3 linked regions of the Arabidopsis thaliana genome follow. The gene in region 2 interacts genetically with the main gene of each other region. Each region holds a gene or a part of one and is shown on either strand. Other genes may lie near its edges.

Region 1 (6,846 bases), on a different chromosome or scaffold from region 2:
ATATATACGAATATTATTCAACCTCGCAAGACCCTCTTCTATAGACTCAAATTTCATAGTTTTTTTCGCTTTTGCACTATTTTTACGCATGAATCTTAATTTTGCATTACTATTGATTTGATTACTGATAGCGAGTATGGTATATCAAATGTGTATAGAATCTCTGATAAAGTTTGTAGTGTAGTTTTGCTACAGAAAGAACAAATGTTCTGAGATTGTGAAAGCTATAAAATGAAGGGGTTTACAAAACCATCAGTGAAACTCTGTTGACGGTAACAATTTTCAGGCTTTGATTTTGGAACTTTTTTTTTTTTTTTTTTTCTTTTTTTTTTGTCAAACAACTTTGATTCTGGAACTTATAGAGTAAAATTCCTATAAATTTTCTACCATTTGATTTTCATAGCTAAAGAAGGTGACAAAAGCTGGAAAAAAGGCAGTCTACAAAGAAATTGTGCAAGCAGGTTTTAGCAATCCAAAGCAGCCAACATATTGACCCGTTGTTATCAAGTTTTCCTTTTGTAAACATCTAGTACCGAACATTTTATGACAATGACTGTCCCTCTATATACTGTCAATCAAATCTCAGTTCCATGCGTAATAATGTGGGATAAAAGAAGAAAATTTTAGGCAAGACATCAAACTGATTCCTTCAAAGTACTTAAAACGAAAAAGATATTGTACAAGAGTTCAAAAGATCCAAATCAACAAAAAAAAAGGGAGATTAAATAAAAGGGACAAGAAACATGTGAGAGCTCGTTTCCTTTTTTTTGTTTTCTGTATGGTTATAAGTGTGTGGTTCTAGTTTAGGTTGTATTTTTTGGACAATGAGGTTTCACCTGTAAGGATGAAGGCATGAAGAAGGTTTTGGGCAGCCTGGGTTTGATCAGGTGTTCCAGATATGACAATGATCCTGTCACTTGTTCCTAGAGGAGGTTCATGGATTATGACCCTTGCACCCGATATCTGAGTAAACAAGCATCAAATGGTATAAGCTATGCTTAAGCCGTTTAAGTCAACCAACGGGGTGCTACTTCATCTTTATGACACTAATTATTTGGTCTGTAGATGATTATTTCAGACTGATGGGGCTAGATGAAAATTCTGTTTTTAAACAACGACTGTAACACTGAATAATGGAACAAACGTTGAGTACTTCAACGAAGATGGAGTTTTCGTGACTTAAAACAGTTTTTTTTGAGTAAAGTTATACATCGTTGAGAATAGTCCTAGACTCCTATTGACTTAGATTAATGGTAGCACGATTGTTTGCACCATGTATAAGACTTTACGTATATGAATTTTATTTTCTCATGCTTTCTTTTTAGTAACCCTAGAGTTCACTTCCGTTTTTAGTAACCCTAGAGTTCACTTACGTATAAGAGCAGCCAATGGAAACCAAAACCTATGGCTGCTCTTGTGGAGCAATTAATCATGGCCTAACCTCTTTTGGATGACGCTATGGGGAAAACCAATAAAAGATTTGTAAACAAAAAATGGCTTACCTGTCTCAGTTGTTCCAGATTGTAACCCTGCTCTCCATACACAAAGCTCATAGCATTAGCTGGAACTCTAATTTCCACGGTAGTGTTTGTAACGATGGCAGATTTGTGTCCACTAGAAAAGACCAAGCGAGCATGTAAACTACACAAAGATCAGAGTAATTATCTCACATAACTGTCTATAATTGTAGTGCTTTTACCTGCCAAGTACATGGCCAGCCCTTGCAGAAGATAATCCGCCACTGGCATCAGATAAGCCTCTTGGAGCTGCTGGAGGCTACATAAAAACTATGTCTATCAGCTACAGAAGTTAGATAGAAGCACAAATGTTCAAAATCTGAATGTGTAGAGGAAGAATGGGAGTATCAACAAGTACTTATGTACAGCAGAAAGGGGAGGATGGGAGAATACAGAGAGATGGAGACATACCGGGGACGCCCACAAACGAGATGGGGCCTCAGTTAAGTGATGGGAGTTATCACTGTGGTCCATGGTAAACCGCCGACCAAAATTATGAGAATAGCCTGCTGAGGGATTAAACCTATCAGGAAATGGGTCTTCTGGTCTTATGTAAGGATCTGTGCCAACTGATCTGGAATAGTTAACTGATGAATGAGACCCACTTAAAAAGGAATCCTCAGATCTTCTGTGCAGACTTGAGGAGTTGGTAGCTGGATTACTAACGGATTGATGAGACCCAATAGACAGAGGATTGTCTGATTGTCTGTCGTAGAATCTCTCAGTAGTTAAGGCGGAGCTGCTCTTGGCTAAGGAATTTTTCATTGAGTTGGAGAAAACACTGTCTCGCAGCCTGCTTGTAATATGGAAAATGGCTTCTCTCACATTAGGGAACTCTCCTGTAATCTATTGGCCAGTAAAGAATTAGTTTATGCCAGACAACTTAAGGAACAATGGAGCTTACAATATGACCGAGTTAATCTCTCAACCAAGTTTACAGTAAATGATCTTTTTAACTCTCTGTTTGCATGAATCTTTCAATTTCTTTCAGAATGTAGCAATAACTAAAACACCACCAACTTTTGACAAGTGTGCAAGGTGAATAGAGACCAACACAGGATTCGGTAATGAAAAGCAAACCACTAACATTTAGCATGCTAATTCCAAATTATGCTCACAAATCAGATGAGAGATTGTCACGTGGAATATGTACCATAACCATAAGGTCAACAAATGATCTAAGTACCTGCACAACTTGATCATTCTCTGAAATACATTTTGGGTTCTGCTCAACCTTCAAAATTTGAATTGCAGCCCCAGTGGTTTTCCGCATTTCCGAAACAATAACACCTCCTTTTCCCAGCACACAACCAATCTGACTTGTTGGGACAACAAGCCGTGCAGTGATAGATGACCTTGGGCCATTATCTAGGATTTTGTTAGTGGCAAGCTCAAATAATCTTGAAAAAATAAGCATAATCGCTTTCTGGGCTGGCGAGCTTTGACATTCAGGGTTCTACATGATGAACAAGCAACAATTATCAACCAAGGATAGTAAATAGATGGAACAGTACTGCATAAGCATCCATGAAAATGGGAAGAAATAGAAAACACCAACCTCTGATGCAGTTACTGCAATCAGACGTTCTTCACAATCATCAAGTGTATTTCCCACATTTATGAAGGCACCTGTTTCGCTATGAAGCATCCTGACAACTTTACCTCCAGTCCCGATAACTCCGCCAGCATTCTCAGTGGAACAAAGTATCTTAAAAACCACATCTTGGTTCCCTACTTCCACTTCTGATGGAGGTGGCTTCATGGTGGCAGTGTTAGCCATTGAAGCAGACGTAGTGAAGCTGTGAGGATGTGTGTCTAAAGTCGAATAACGATGTGCAAGATAATCTGCACTTTGCCCACGAAGAGTTTCTTGTGTCATTGTTTCAATAGGCCTTCCGTAAGCATCACGTGGAAACGACTCAAAAGGCATGCCCATAGCATCACGTGGAACCATTTCGAAAGGTCTATGCAAGGAATCATGAGAATCATCCCTCTCTCTATGCTGTCGAAAACAATCTCCCCTGAGAACATCAGAAGGCATGTATAACGTTTCTTGAGGAACTACATCAATACGCCTGCGTAAAGCATCTTGCCGGTCCGCCTCAACATGCCTGCGTAAAACATCTTGCCGGTCTGCCTCAATATGCATGCGTAAAGCACCCTGGGGAACCGCCTCGATACGCCTAAGATGCAAAGTATCATGAGGAATCACATCATTAGCCCGAGCTACAGTGCCCCGGGGAAATATCTCGTCGTTTCTCAGCCTATAATCGTAAGGGTTAACTTCAACGGACCTAGGAAGTGACTCCTGAATTATTGTCTCTATAGGCCTATGCAAAGATGCTTGGAACTCTTTTTCGAGAGGTCTGTTTCCAACCATCCTTACCTTGTCAATCGATTGACAATTTTGCAAGCAGCGGGAGATAGACACAAGAGCTTTCTTTACAGCGATAGCATTTCCTTCAACCTGCCATAGTTCAATATGAAAACCAATACATTACAATCTGCAAAAAAACAAGCATCTATAGAGTGCTAAACCAACGTTTCAGCTCAAAACATTTTCTCCAAAGAGATATTCATAGTTTCTAAATTTAGTATCAATTAGAATTCGTACCTCCACCATCTCGTCATCAGTATCAGCGCAAATCGGCAAATTCTCAATCCGTATAGAAATTTTGCAGCCAGTTTCTTTCCTAATACTCCCAACCATTTGACCACCTTTGCCTATCACAGCACCGGCATGGCTAGACTCCGTCAACAATCGGCACACGACCGTATCACTATCAGCTTCCGCCGCTAAAAGCTCGAATACCTTAATCAACGCTCCTTGTGCTTTAGATACCTCAACTTCCTCCTCCTTTTTCTCTCCTTCTGCATTGCCATTGTTATTAGCACCCAATTTCACCCTTGATTTCGAATCTGCTTGTGCGATTATCGTGATGACCCGATCCGGAGACCCAGACGGAGGCTCCTCGACCCGTATCTTAGCTCCGGTTGATTGTTGGAGCTGTTTGATTACGTTTCCAGATTTTCCAATCACCGCACCGACGTGTGATAAAGGGCAGAGCAATCTAAACGCCGCGTGTCCCACCGGCACAACCAGAGCTGAGAGCAGCTGCGTGTGATGCGTTTTGACCCTCTTGGAAGATCCGAATCCTGAACCTGGATCAAACGCTCCGGATCTCTTCTCTGCATGAAATTTAACGCTATTTCGCTCCATTATCTCTCCTCTCTCTCCCTCTCCAATCTCGTCACGGCGGTTTCCGGCGCAGAGGACTTGAGAGAAGTCTTTGGTGGTCTTTAACGCTAAGTTGCTAACTTGCGCCAAATATCCGCATTATATATTTATTATTTAACGGCAAACCATACCGTACCGATTTTAAAAATTCTTACTAAACTTAACCGAAATCTAACAACCAATTTATGGGAGTGGGACTGTGTTAGAAATCGAAGAAAGATTGCTTCTGATAAAGAAACATAATAAACTTGTGAATTGTGATTATACCAGTCGATCTTGAATCTTGATAAACAGATATATACACGGATCTAACTTTCCTAATACATAATGTTACAAGCAACCAAATCTAACATCGATTCATTTATTGTTTTTACAGATAATATGAAACAGAGGAGTTGTTTAAACTTCATAGCCAGGGTTCACAGTCTGCTGCACATCTCCATAGCTCTCTAGCTCAGCAACATCCTCTAAGCTCCCAAGAAACAGAGGCAATCTTTGGTGAAGCTTCACGGGTTGTATCGAAAGTATCCCTCTTTTTCCATCAGAGGATTTGCCACCAGCTTGCTCCACGAGAAAAGCCAAAGGGTTACCTTCATAGACTAAACGAAGATGGTCTCTTGGATTCATAGCCACTCCACCGTATAAGAGAGTCCTGTGAAGATCAGCTACTAGAGAACAAATATAACGCGCAGAGTATTTTTTCGGGTTTTGACCTTTGCCTTGTCTCACTGTGTCAATGTACTTCCTTAAACCTTCTGGCCAATCAAAGTACCTCGCATCGTTCACTGAGTAGATTTGTCCTATTGTTGATCATACAAAAAACAACGATTAATGCAGGTTGTTCAGAGCCATGAATAGGAATGTCGCAATGGATCAAGTCATATGTGTCATTAGACGCTTTTTACCCCGAGTTGGGATCTTGATGTTTTGATGGGTAAGAACAAATTCTCCTGTGGAATGGTCTAGCGTGAAGGCGTGTGTTCCCGATCCAAGTGTAACACAGAAGATAGTGGCTGAAGAGTATAGCACATAACCGGAAGCTACAAGCCTGCTGCCTCTCTGCAAAGAATTGAGCTCAGCTTTCTCTTCAACAGGTAAATGATCAAGCTCAACGAGACGATTGTAAATTCCAAATATAGTTCCCGTGGGAATCGAAGCATCGATGTTCCGTGATCCATCTAGAGGATCTACAACCACAACGTAAGGACCATCATCTTTGATCCAAGTTGGACTATCGTTTTCTTCAGAAGCCATTACTGCTACTTTCCCTGAGTTTCTAAGAGAGGACAAGACGATATCGTTCTGCAAAACGGAAACATGAATTGTAAGATTGAATCTTGATATGAATCATGATAAAAAAGAGAGTAATAAGATACAGACCGAGACAATATCGAGCGGCTTAGGCGCATCTCGGTCTGACCCACTAGAGGAGTTAACAGAGAGCTTTCCGAGTGAAGAATTGAAAGGAGAGGCGACAAGAGAAGCGATTCTTTTGCAAGCATGTTGTAAGTGGTAAAGCAACACCACAAGATCCTCTCCTACATTTTTCCCTTCTCCTCCTCCACTACCTATCAGAAAATTTCATAGAACAACTTAAAATAATAATAAATTTAAGACTTCAATCAAACTGCTTATACAGAGGAACCGTCAAAAGTCAAAACCCAACCATTGTTCGTCTAAGAGAGTTTCCAAGATTTGTCTTACTCAATTAAGCACATTTTAGATGCTAAATTCAGGGTATTTCCACTAAAGTTACGGATTTTCGGACATAGATTGACAATGGATGACAGACAACACATTAACTTGAATTATCGAGACAGTGCTAAGTTCGTTCAGACAGAGCAGTTTGTTACCTGCAAAGTCTATAAGAGTACAGTAACCATCATCATCATCTCCGGTCAAATTCCGACCAACGGCAAGGGGCTTAAAGGAAGTTGACTGATGGCGAGACGCCATATCGCGACGGTTAATACCGGCGGTCGGAGCAGAGAGAACAGAAGCTGCGATTTGTCTTAGCGGGTAAAGATTGAGTCTTGGCGGGGAAATTGGAGTTGGGTACCGAGTTAAGGTAAGAGATTGCATTATTTTCTA
Region 2 (5,070 bases):
CAGATGAATATAGGGATGAATATACGTAGTTTTGTCTTTGTCATATACTAGATTATATTCCCACCAGTCATTTTCCTATGTATTTAACAAGACAAGACGTAGAAAAATGAGAATTTTAGTACTTGAGTTAACATATTTAAAGATTATATTCCCATCAGTCATTGAACATATGTGTACATATATATACGAGGAGAATCTATAACTTAGTAAGGAGGGAAATATGAGATTTTATTTCTATAGAGAAAAGAAAGGATAAAACCTCTCTCTGCCAACACTGGCCACCGTCTCCAAAGTCCATCCCAGTTAATTTTTATTTTTTGGAATCTTCTTATGTTATTACTCTTTCTTTTCTTATGACAACATGTCAACATGTGACCTGTCGTCTTCTACTTTCTTTTCTTCAGCTTTTCTCCTTTTAAGCAGAATATTCAATCTATCTTCAAATTCATATCTGAGTTTTGTACTATAAAAGAAAAGCAGACATTAAAAAAGATTTGAATATAAAACAAATGTATTGGAGTGGTAAAGCACATCTTCATCAAACATTTTTAAGGAGCATCAATCTAATTGGTCGATGGAAATGGAAGTAAAGGAATAGAAGATTGTTTGTGTTCCATGATGATGTATATATATGCCTAATTAATGTTACTGTTAGTTACCTTTGGATAACAAAGATATTTAAAGCGGTTTAATGCTTATTAACGGTTGATGGATGTTACCTTTTCTTTTTGACATCACGGTAGATGTTACCTTTCATAGGTGTTGAATAGACAGATTGGGGACGTTAATTAGTAATGATGTAATTAGTTAGAGCTAAATAGTGCTAATAAATATATGTAAGAAATTGTTCGGAAAGTAACTAAAAAAAGTTCAATTCATGCAAGTAGACACTTCAAATGTGATAAATGTATAAGTATGATGTTAAGCATGTGACCCTTGAGAGTCGATTAGGGCACTGTACAAGATTGACCCAAATAGTTACAAACTACAAGTGAACTCTCTTCCATTACATATCTACGTGTATTGAGGGGACCATTATCGTACGTATACACGTATATATGTTTTGCCCTAAATTCCCAATTTTAATTCAGCATGGGGGACGGACTCATTCAATAGCATCGTCTTTCACTTTCCTTCTTCGGTTTAAAATCTCATTTTAGTTTCTGATCCAAAAAAAAATGTTTGATCAAAGATCAAAAACTTAGATAGAAACAAACTGTTTTTTTTTCTTAAATCAAGAAAGTCTAAAAAACTAAGATACAAAAAGGGACTCGCAGCGGCAGAGAGATAAGTATCTTACGGGCCAGCAGATAATTTCTATGTTACGTCCCTTTCATCCCCATTGCATATTGCATATGAAGACAACGGATATTAACTAAAATCTTCCAAAATTACGGTATAATGAATAATAATACACTTCTGTCTCATATAGTATTCTATTATATTGTTCGAAAATGTTCTTATTTACATATCTATTTATATTGTTAATTGATTGCGGCTATTACTGTGGATATTCATCGTAACTATTTTAATCAATACAAATCATGCAAAATAGTGAATGACTTAGAAAAGTTGAAACCACATATGATTGAGTTTAGGGGGAAAAGTATAAAAGAAAGCATGACTAGTATGTTACTATGTAGTAAGCTTCAAACATATATTTAAGAAAATACTATATATAGATACATATGATATAACATAACATTAAAATATATGGTGAAACATTTTTTCTTAATATCCTAAGCTTCAAACATATACCCAAGTAGAGAAGAGTTGGAGTATTCATTCTTTGGTTAAACATAGACCTAATACATAGCTCATATGGACAATTTTTCGACAAAACAAAAATGATAGCAAATGGGCTAAAATGGTTTCATATCGAAAAGCCCAAACCATTAAGCCAAAACGACGTCGTACGATATGACAGCGGCGATTCCTATAACCACCACCAGAGGTTAAAAAGTCTCTCTCTTTAGCTATCTTTTTTGTGTTACCGGTTCAAATGGCCGCCGTCGCAGATTCCGTTGAGAACAACGGTTCCATAAACCTCCCTGAGAATGAAAACCTTATACCGGCGGGATTCAGTGCCGCCGCATTGCTTGACGAAAACTCTGGCGCTTTCCCTGAATTGAATCAGCCCGATAGCTTAGCTGCTGCTGAGACTACCTTCCCCGATACGAACGATTCCGCGGAGGAGAGGTGGCCAGGTTGGCCTGGTGATTGCGTGTTTCGTATGATCGTTCCGGTGACTAAAGTCGGAGCTATTATTGGACGCAAAGGTGACTTTATAAAGAAGATGTGTGAGGAGACTCGTGCTCGTATCAAAGTCCTTGATGGTCCTGTTAATACTCCCGATCGCATCGTTAGTATCTCTATCTCCTTCTACGTGATTTACTGTGTTCAAAGCTAATTCGAATTTGGGGATTTTTAATTTCTATTTCTAGGGTTTCTTAATCATAAGTAGGAAGATTCTTGAGTTGTGATCATTAAAGTTGTGAACTTTTATCCCCTAGTTGTGCAATTTGATTACTTTATGGTTCCAATTATAGTTTGAAGTGTTCACTAAGTTAATTACTTGCTCAATGTTATGTTTTAGGTGTTAATATCTGGTAAGGAAGAACCAGAGGCCTACATGTCACCGGCAATGGACGCAGTGTTGAGGGTGTTTAGACGTGTTTCAGGGTTGCCTGATAATGATGATGATGATGTTCAAAACGCTGGAAGTGTCTTCTCTTCAGTGCGTTTATTAGTTGCTTCAACGCAGGCGATTAATTTGATTGGAAAACAAGGATCTTTGATTAAGTCTATAGTAGAGAACTCTGGTGCATCAGTTCGTATTTTATCAGAAGGTATTATCTATCATCTGCAGTTTTCTGTTTTTACCTAATTGATCTCTTTGTTTGTGATTGTTAAAGTTTAGTTTTTGCTATTTCAATTCATGTCTGTTTTTTTTTCTAAAATTGGTGTCTTTGTTGCCAGTTTCTTATTTCTCTACTTTTTTCTGCCAGAGGAAACACCGTTTTATGCTGCACAGGATGAGAGGATAGTGGATTTGCAAGGGGAAGCTTTAAAGATTCTTAAAGCATTAGAAGCCATTGTTGGACACCTTAGGAGATTTTTAGTTGACCATACTGTTGTCCCTCTCTTCGAGAAGCAAGTAAGCTTGCTTGTTTCAATCGAGATTATTCCTTTCCCTTTTTTTTCTTTTCTGAATTATTGTTATCTTTTCTTATCTTCAGTATCTAGCTAGGGTCTCTCAAACTCGCCAGGAAGAACCGTTAGCTGAAAGCAAGTCATCTCTGCATACTATTTCGTCAAATCTAATGGAGCCTGATTTCTCCCTCTTAGCACGGAGGGAACCTTTGTTTCTGGAGCGCGATTCTCGGGTGGACTCACGTGTTCAGCCTTCGGGAGTTTCTATCTACAGTCAGGATCCTGTACTGTCTGCCAGACACTCCCCAGGTCTTGCTCGGGTTTCTTCTGCTTTTGTGACACAGGTAGATTCCCTTAAATACAACATCAGCTCCTGAAAACGAGTTTAGCGATATCATCTTACTTGTTATGATTAGTCTTCCAGCAGTGATTTTGATCTTAACACATCTAACTTGTTTCTCTGAACTAGTAGTGACGTTTCTATAATGGATTCTCTTACTAGGTATCTCAAACGATGCAAATACCATTCTCCTATGCAGAGGATATTATTGGTGTAGAAGGAGCTAATATAGCCTATATCCGTCGAAGAAGCGGAGCTACCATAACCATTAAAGAGAGTCCGCATCCTGATCAAATCACAGTGGAAATCAAAGGCACAACTTCTCAAGTACAAACTGCTGAGCAACTAATTCAAGTAAGAACACATTCGATCTGTATATATATATATATACTTTCTGCGACGTGGCATTGTATAAACACTAAGATTATGCTTGCTTTGCATCCTACCCCGCCTGCTTCATCATAACCGTATTCTTTTGTTTACGTGTGTGTAGGAGTTCATCATCAATCACAAGGAACCAGTTTCGGTATCAGGGGGATATGCCAGAATCGACTCTGGATATGTACCTGCATATCCTCCTCAGCTAAGTAACCGTCAAGAGCCGCTCCCGAGCACCTACATGGGCACAGAGCCGGTGCAGTACAGACCAACAGCATACTCTCAGCTGGGGGGTCCTTCTACCTACACACCGACCCTGACTGGGCAAACTTATGGTTCGGAATATAGACCAGCTTCTGATGTTGGTGGCTACAGCAGTTATAATCTTTGAATTGGTTGCTGTGTTTAAGTTTATTTGCAGATTAATTTCTCTTTAGAGAAAGGCTCATTTATAATATAATAGAGAGGGAAAAGGAACAAGTTCTAGAGAGCCAATGTAGTTGTTGGAATGTGTAATGTAAATCTAGGTGCCCTTTTTTTTTTTTTTTTTCATACCTCGATATATGTCACACTACGTTTCTGGTCAAATAAGAACATGTTTTTTCTTTCTTTTTTGTATGAATTTGTTTATCAGAAGTCAGAATGATTCAGTTTTAAGAAATTTTTAGTTAACGTTTTACAACAATAACCTGTAGGAGCTTTTTCTTAATTGAATAAGTTTAAGCTTTCTATTTTGATCTGATGATGCTAATATGAAAGCATTCTCCGAAGAACCAAACCACATGAGACTTTTTGATTTCAATGTCCATTCGTAACTAGTAACGGAAAAGATCAGACAGAAAAAATGTACCAATCATTCCATATTTGTAGTTTTACATGATATAGTAATATTCTCTAGGTGTTTAAGTTGTATATTTCATGATTTTTACACATTTTAAAACCTGATTAAGGCCTGTTTTTAACTTTTTATTTCTTCAAACCGTAAGAAACAATCCTTGCAAGAAACAATCCTTGCTTCTTCTTCTTTTTTTCGTCAAGAAACAATCCTTGCTATATTTTCATTTTTACAGCTTCTTGTTTTTAAGAGAGCAAATATAATAAATAAGGACGGCTGAAAAGAGGTATATGTATCACAAAATTAAACAAAAGAGAATCCACCTATCGACATAGACGTGGTATCCTTTCGATATCGACAGAAT
Region 3 (6,339 bases), on a different chromosome or scaffold from region 2:
TAATTTTGGTAAGATAGGCCCAAAAGAGTATTTTGGATTATAGAAGTATTATAGGGAAGTGTGCTCATATTTTTAAAAGATCCAATCAAAAAGGCATCAAACTTTTTGAGTCCTCCTTTGCTACTTTCATCATTTGTCGTTATACCATTAATAGAGGCCTTCCACATGTTTCATCAAAACTTAAAATCAGAGACACGGAGACAACTAGTCCATGTTTTCTTCCTTTGCCTCTGTTTCTCATGTCATGTCCTCTTCTTCGACTCTTAAGAACAAAACATTGGACCCACTTTTGATTTAGCAGTTAGCACCGACATGTGTCTTGCTGAAGAAGCATGTTTCATGCACTGGCTCTCTGTCGTCACTCTGTCACATCTTGTTGTTACGTGTTGTTTCATCTTATTGTGGAGATTAGTTGGAGTTTACTGACAATTGCTATAAACAAAATCACAATGGAAACGATATTTATCCAAGAGAACCGAATCAACGGCAGATAAATGCTCAATTGGATCATTGAGGAGAGAAGAGTGGTGATGAACAATTTTGCTTTTATGAGCTCAACTGAGTAAAAGAAGACTCACTCAACGATATCTTTTTTGTTTTAGGATGATAAAGAGAAGTAGAGAACTCACGAGCGATAAGCATTTCGAAACGAAACAGATGCAGTACATAGGAAGTAAACTAGGATTACAACAAGATATCATCTTATGTTACACAAAGCTGGGAAACTCATTGAGTAGTGTCGGTGTTGGTTGCTCCAGCAGCATCGGCTTCTGAAGTGGTCTTAGCCATCACCTCACCTGGAGGAGGATGGTCAAACTTGCATGTTGCCCCGTATTTGCAAGTTCCTGTCTTCATGTAATAAGGGCAATTAAGCGCACCCTGCAACAGTTTTTGTTTTGTCTATGAGATTACCACACAAACTCACAACATGCAGGCTTCTAATAATACCACTTTATAGGTACCTCTCTTCTGGGATACCCTGCAAGACTCAGCTTTACATTTGGTTGTTGAGGAGCTTGTTTGGTCATTGCACTTAACCTATCTGCTGGGTGATGGAATTTGCATCTCTCTCCAAACTTGCACTCCCCTGTCTTCATGTAGTACTGTAATATTGAAAGACAGAGCTTTTGGTATAAAATTTCAACTAACATGTGGGAGAAAAAGCTCAGCAATCTCTAAAAGAAACAAGGATACTAACGTCACATTCTGATTGTCCAGGTCTTTGGGGATAAGTTGCTGAAATCACTCCAAGCTGAAACAATTTCCACTCTAATTAAACCCCTATCAACTAAAGAAGCGCTCTTGAATATTTCTCACAACATGAATAAAGGCTTTTACCGTGGGTTGAGTAAGAGTCTGATAGAAAGAGGTAGCTGGTGTAACCAGCCCAAGGTTCAAATTCGCAGTGTTCGATGAAACTAGAGAATAGTTTACCCCAGCAGCTTGGGGAATGAATGCTGTGCACAGAATCAAAACATCGCACATTATGAGAATTTAGGGATAAAAGTAATACGTTAAAGGTTCTAAAAACCACAAAATTTTGGCATGATCACAAACCAGTCCTCTCAGGATGATTGTAGCGACAAGTGGCTCCATACTTGCAGCTGATTATGGAAAAGGAAAACAAGTTAGAACGTTAATGTCACGTTCTTTGTTTCAATGTTCTAAACAACAAAATAGTATTATACAAGAGATATTCACCTTCCCGTTTTGAGATAGAATGGGCAGTCCACTTCACCCTGAAAAAGCTACAATCTAATTAGTGAAACTTCATTCTCAGACGTCAGAACAGGTCAGCATACAATGCTAGCAAACCATAATCAGTTCTAAGTATAGTGCCAATAAGATAGTAGAAAGTCACAAATTGTGCCTATATGATTATAAGTCAGTCTTATGCAAAGTGAAGATGAATTCATTACCGATCTAACAGGTAGTCCTTTTGAGTTGTGATACAATGCTGGGGTAAATGTGACATGCGGATTGTTTGTGGCATCAGGCTCACTGGTTAACCCCACACTGCTACCAATATCTTGACTCGATGATGGTAGCTGGATATCCTTTGGATGGTGGAATTTGCATGACAAACCAAATTTACATTTTCCAGTCTTCATGTAGAACTGATGCAGAGTAGAAATGCCAAATTAATAATCGATATTAGTTTCATATGTAAGAGCATTTATAAAAATAGGATAGGTCAATCAATTATGTTTATATCTTACTGTGCACATAGGTTCAGAAGGCCTCTCAGGCAATGAATCTTGAGTTTCAACACTAACCTGAAATAAAGAAGAGCATCAAGCTTCTAGGTGCATGCACAGCCCAAGAAAAAACTAAAGCAGTACATATTACAAGCACAAGATTTTATGCGAGTGTCTGCAGGCAAATACACAACCCGAGGGATAATTTTATTTGGAAAAGGAAAATTCACTTACTGCAGCCTCTTCTCTTGGATGATTAAATTTGCACTTTGAACCATATTTGCAGCGTTGTGTTTTTATATAGTACTGGATAACAGTGAAAATAAAAGAAAGATAGTCTCAGGTCTTCAGGCGAAACAGAAATAAAATAGCTCGAAAAGTTTTCACGAACAGCTTACAGGACAATCTGGTTCTCCTGGTCTCTCAGGATACTCTTCATTTGGAACAACTGGTGCCTGAATGAAAAGATATTCATAAGCAAAAACAATCATATCATTTTATCATGTAATGCCTAGACAATGAGTATGATGTCTCTTCCAAGTCAAGGAATGATCTGACAAAGGGAAAAGCAAGGATAACAAACACGGTTGCAGAAGTCGGGAAGCTCAAATCTTGAATAACAATAAGATACCATTTGTCATACCTATACCTACACTATCATGATAATGTAGTAATTCTATAACCTCGTATACCAAACAAAAACAATATATATAGTTACAAAGTAATTAGGCACAAACTCCCACAGTATAAAACATATAAGTACATAACAGAATATAGAAAAACGTTATCATAATAATGTAAAAATCATATGAGGGCATAAGAAATACTTAGATAGTAGTAAACGATCACCTCTTTCCAATCTGGGATTCCGCCCTCAGGAACCCAAATAGGATGATCAAACCTGCAGCTTTCTCCAAATTTACATGTTCTTGTTTGCATATAGTGGGTACAATCTTTCTCTCCTGCCCTCTGTGGATATATAGGCAAATGGCTTGTACTCTCCAACTTAGGGCGCTTGGTAAAATAGTCTGTAGTATACCAAGCTTCGGTTTGACCAATTGTATTATGGGCACCCAACAGAGTCGGATAGTAGAGCGCTAAATTACATAATAAACAATAATATACAACGAAATGAGAAGATATATACTGACTATAAGTATAATTTGAAAATAAATTTGGGAGATACTATAGCAAAAACCAAGATATAGCATCAATAATCAATTGTATCTTTAGTTAAACTTACAGTAAGAAATTCTGGCTTACATACAATCATGTCTGAAAATCTATTGGAAACCATAGAGTTACAACAAAACATAAATCATCAATCAATTCTGCAAAATCACCAAGTGTTCCAATAAACATTAAGGTCAAAACTAAAAACAATTATCGTTAGGCAATCCTAAAGCAACAAAGACTTAATCAAGAACACTACCATAAGCTATATAGTTTATAGATGCAATCCCTAAGCATCTCCTGAAAGATGATTCTAACTGTCAAGCTTCGCGTTGTCCAGACTCAAAACAAAGCAATTGGCCAAACCAATCCAACCTCTATTTCAGCTAACGAGAAAGCACAGAGGAATACAAACCAACATCATTGTGCTTGAGCAAATGTAAATTAAAATCTATCCTAGAAAGAATCAGGCTAGAGACCATGACTAAAGCTGAGTTTTTTATGCTGCAATTGAAGAAACAAACCATCAAAAACACTAATTTCCGCTACAGAACTAGAGTATCACGATGAGCAGAGAAAAGGGAAAGCTGAAGTCTTTAACTTTTCAAGTTATGCGGCATAGTTCTCCAAGCAATAAATAAGAAAATGATGCAGATCCCATAAATAGTAAGGTAAACAAAGAGCCTACCTTCAGAGGTGCGTTTGACACCAGGAGGAAGTGGCTCGACGGCGGAAGCAGCACCGGGAACCTCCACACCAGGTGGCCAAGCAACTTCCTGATGCTGAAGCAGCTGAGGATACGCCAAATGCGATGCCGTCGTGTTAGGCAAATGATGGTACATAGAGGAAGACGATGCAAGAGTCCCTGAATAGTTGCTCAAAGCTTCGGATCCATCACGAGCTAAGAAACGATACGTGGTATCCGGAAAGTAATGGTCAGCAGAAGAACCGTAGAGAGAAGAAAGACCGGTTTTTGGCGGCAGTGGTTGTTGCGGCGGAGGAGGAGCTGGAGATACGGTGGAGGCAGCAGCAGCATAAGAAGGTTGAAGGGCGTAGCTATACAATTGACGATGTGCCATTCGATCGAAAAAGGAAACCCTAAAGGAAAAAGCTTTCTACTTTTTTGGTGTCAAACAAATTATCAAAATTGTTGTGTTTGTGGGGTTTACAACCAACTCAAACAGAACAAAAATTCTCAGATCCATAAAACTTGATTTGACATTACCACTGATTCTCTGTTTTATTGCAGTTTGCACATTATTAAATTCTCTTTCTTTCTTATCAACACAAAAAATATATAGTTTTTATAAAGTTGGGAGCTTTTTTACATCAGGGAATAAACACTGAGGGTAACTAAGAAACCGAACAAAGCCCCTGCTATGACTTCAACTTCAGTGTGTCCTATTGATTCTTTCAATGGAGGAGCAATCTCCTCACTGATCTCTTCTGATGTCAAAGCTTTGTTAGATTCGTTGCCCTTTAAACTCATTACTTCACTTCTACGAGCATTAGCTGTTAGTTTGTTCAACACTTTGGCATGTTTTCCAACTTCTCTCCTCACCCCCTGCAATGTTACAATCAGTGAGACATTAAGATAACACTAGAATCAGACATTGAGAATTTGAGAATAACCAACAAAGACCTATTGAACAAAAGCCAGCCTAAGCTTTTCTCTATAGACTATTTTACCTGGGCATCATACATGATAAGGCCAGCATAAACCACAGTTAGACCAAAAATGGAGTCAGCAAATCCCCTGAAGCCAAACCATATTCAGGAAATTGCATAAGCTGAGTATATTTAGGGGAATTGAGAAGAGAAAGGTTCAGGCTAATCACCTTTCAAAAGCAATAGCAGTTGCTGCAGCCACAACAGACTGGTTTCTCAAGAATTAGGCCAAAATGTCAGAGAAGTAGACAAACAATATTACCAGAGGAAACAAGAATAAAAAAAGGATAAGCTTACAGAAGAATGTGTTGAAGGGAAACCTCCAGCTTGAAAGACACTTCTAAAGTCCAGATTTTTCCCATACAAAACGACAGAAGTGAATGGCTTTGAGAGCTGCCCAATCACAGCAGAAGTCCCAGCAGCTATGAGTACCTTCACGCCGGTGAAATCAAAAGCCTAAGTGACGATGACCCTCCAAAAAAAGGAATGAAAGAAGAGAAAAAGGCGAAACCTTGTTGTGGATGACCTCAGCGATATCTTGGAATCCAACATTGACAACGCAGGTGAGACGAGGTGGCTTCTTTGGGCAGCTTGCAAGATTGAATTTGGAGTTGGAGAAAGAGAAACAGAGATCATTGGCGTTATGAGACACAAAACAGTGCTTCATCAACATCTCTGTGCAGAAGATGGAACTTTGGTCGGAGGATGACGATAAGAATAAGGCAGCGAGAAATTTGGAACCAATGGTTCTGACGCTCTGTTATGTCGAGAAGAGTGTTGTCTCTTAGGACATTTTAATTGACTCAGAGAAGCTTTTGTGGATTTTTTCATTGACAAATTGTTATCTCACACACAAAATCTGCTTTAACTCTTTTAGTAAAACTCTTTTAGTCTCTTAAACCAAGTCATCTGTTCTTCTTTTATAAATCACAATTTGTATTCGCCAAAATTAAAGAATATGAACAAAAACAAACATATCGAAACTTTCAGCTTGTGGAGTTTTAAGTCTAAAAGTACTCGAAATCTATATACGCCGTATCATCCGTGGGACCAGCAGCACAGGCGACCAGAGGCTCCGGCTTCATTGAGTTACAGTGATCACCACCTCCATGGCTCTTGGTCTTACCTCTAGCGGCCGCGTACGGTCCCAAGTCCACGGGGTCTGGAATGTGAGGTGGGGCAGCACTACGAACTAGAGCCCAATTCACTCCTTCAAAGAAAGGGTGTTGCTTTATCTCTGTGGCCCCCCTCGTGTAAGCGATCCTTCTGTGTGGATCCTTCACTAGTAGTCCGCGGATGA

Evidence for each region. Genes that interact genetically often act in the same process or in processes that back each other up.
Region 1: of PEP (region 2) and HEN4, changing one enhances a phenotype caused by changing the other (phenotypic enhancement), as found in Arabidopsis thaliana (one study listed by BioGRID).
Region 3: of PEP (region 2) and HUA1, changing one enhances a phenotype caused by changing the other (phenotypic enhancement), as found in Arabidopsis thaliana (one study listed by BioGRID).

Annotation. Positions count from the first base shown.
Region 1 is NC_003076.8:25,741,333-25,748,178, reverse strand, and holds HEN4 (RNA-binding KH domain-containing protein), read right to left. Parts: upstream 4,834-6,846; 5' UTR 4,738-4,833; coding exon 4,132-4,737; intron 3,985-4,131; coding exon 3,076-3,984; intron 2,974-3,075; coding exon 2,704-2,973; intron 2,364-2,703; coding exon 1,929-2,363; intron 1,777-1,928; coding exon 1,700-1,776; intron 1,642-1,699; coding exon 1,503-1,641; coding exon of another isoform or gene 1,437-1,502; exon of another isoform or gene 964-1,436; coding exon 799-963; 3' UTR 527-798; downstream 1-526. Other genes in the region: AT5G64380 (Inositol monophosphatase family protein), read right to left, coding at 5,155-5,555, 5,661-6,057, 6,136-6,323, 6,609-6,837. UniProt on the Arabidopsis thaliana protein: Functions in floral reproductive organ identity in the third whorl and floral determinacy specification by specifically promoting the processing of AGAMOUS (AG) pre-mRNA. Functions in association with HUA1 and HUA2.
Region 2 is NC_003075.7:13,195,278-13,200,347, forward strand, and holds PEP (RNA-binding KH domain-containing protein), read left to right. Parts: upstream 1-1,791; 5' UTR 1,792-2,002; coding exon 2,003-2,362; intron 2,363-2,596; coding exon 2,597-2,849; intron 2,850-3,008; coding exon 3,009-3,157; intron 3,158-3,239; coding exon 3,240-3,497; intron 3,498-3,655; coding exon 3,656-3,847; intron 3,848-3,986; coding exon 3,987-4,262; 3' UTR 4,263-4,564; downstream 4,565-5,070. UniProt on the Arabidopsis thaliana protein: Regulates vegetative and gynoecium development. In concert with HUA2, antagonizes FLK by positively regulating FLC probably at transcriptional and post-transcriptional levels, and thus acts as a negative regulator of flowering.
Region 3 is NC_003074.8:4,024,550-4,030,888, forward strand, and holds HUA1 (floral homeotic protein (HUA1)), read right to left. Parts: upstream 4,592-6,339; 5' UTR 4,451-4,591; coding exon 4,060-4,450; intron 3,296-4,059; coding exon 3,048-3,295; intron 2,654-3,047; coding exon 2,597-2,653; intron 2,505-2,596; coding exon 2,433-2,504; intron 2,277-2,432; coding exon 2,220-2,276; intron 2,118-2,219; coding exon 1,920-2,117; intron 1,740-1,919; coding exon 1,702-1,739; intron 1,605-1,701; coding exon 1,558-1,604; intron 1,458-1,557; coding exon 1,339-1,457; intron 1,253-1,338; coding exon 1,199-1,252; intron 1,104-1,198; coding exon 963-1,103; intron 880-962; coding exon 727-879; 3' UTR 527-726; downstream 1-526. Other genes in the region: AT3G12685 (Acid phosphatase/vanadium-dependent haloperoxidase-related protein), read right to left, coding at 4,696-4,935, 5,061-5,127, 5,210-5,247, 5,337-5,471, 5,551-5,712; AGC1.5 (AGC kinase 1.5), read right to left, coding at 6,047-6,339. UniProt on the Arabidopsis thaliana protein: Involved in flower development. Functions in floral reproductive organ identity by binding AGAMOUS (AG) pre-mRNA and promoting its processing. Functions in association with HUA2 and HEN4.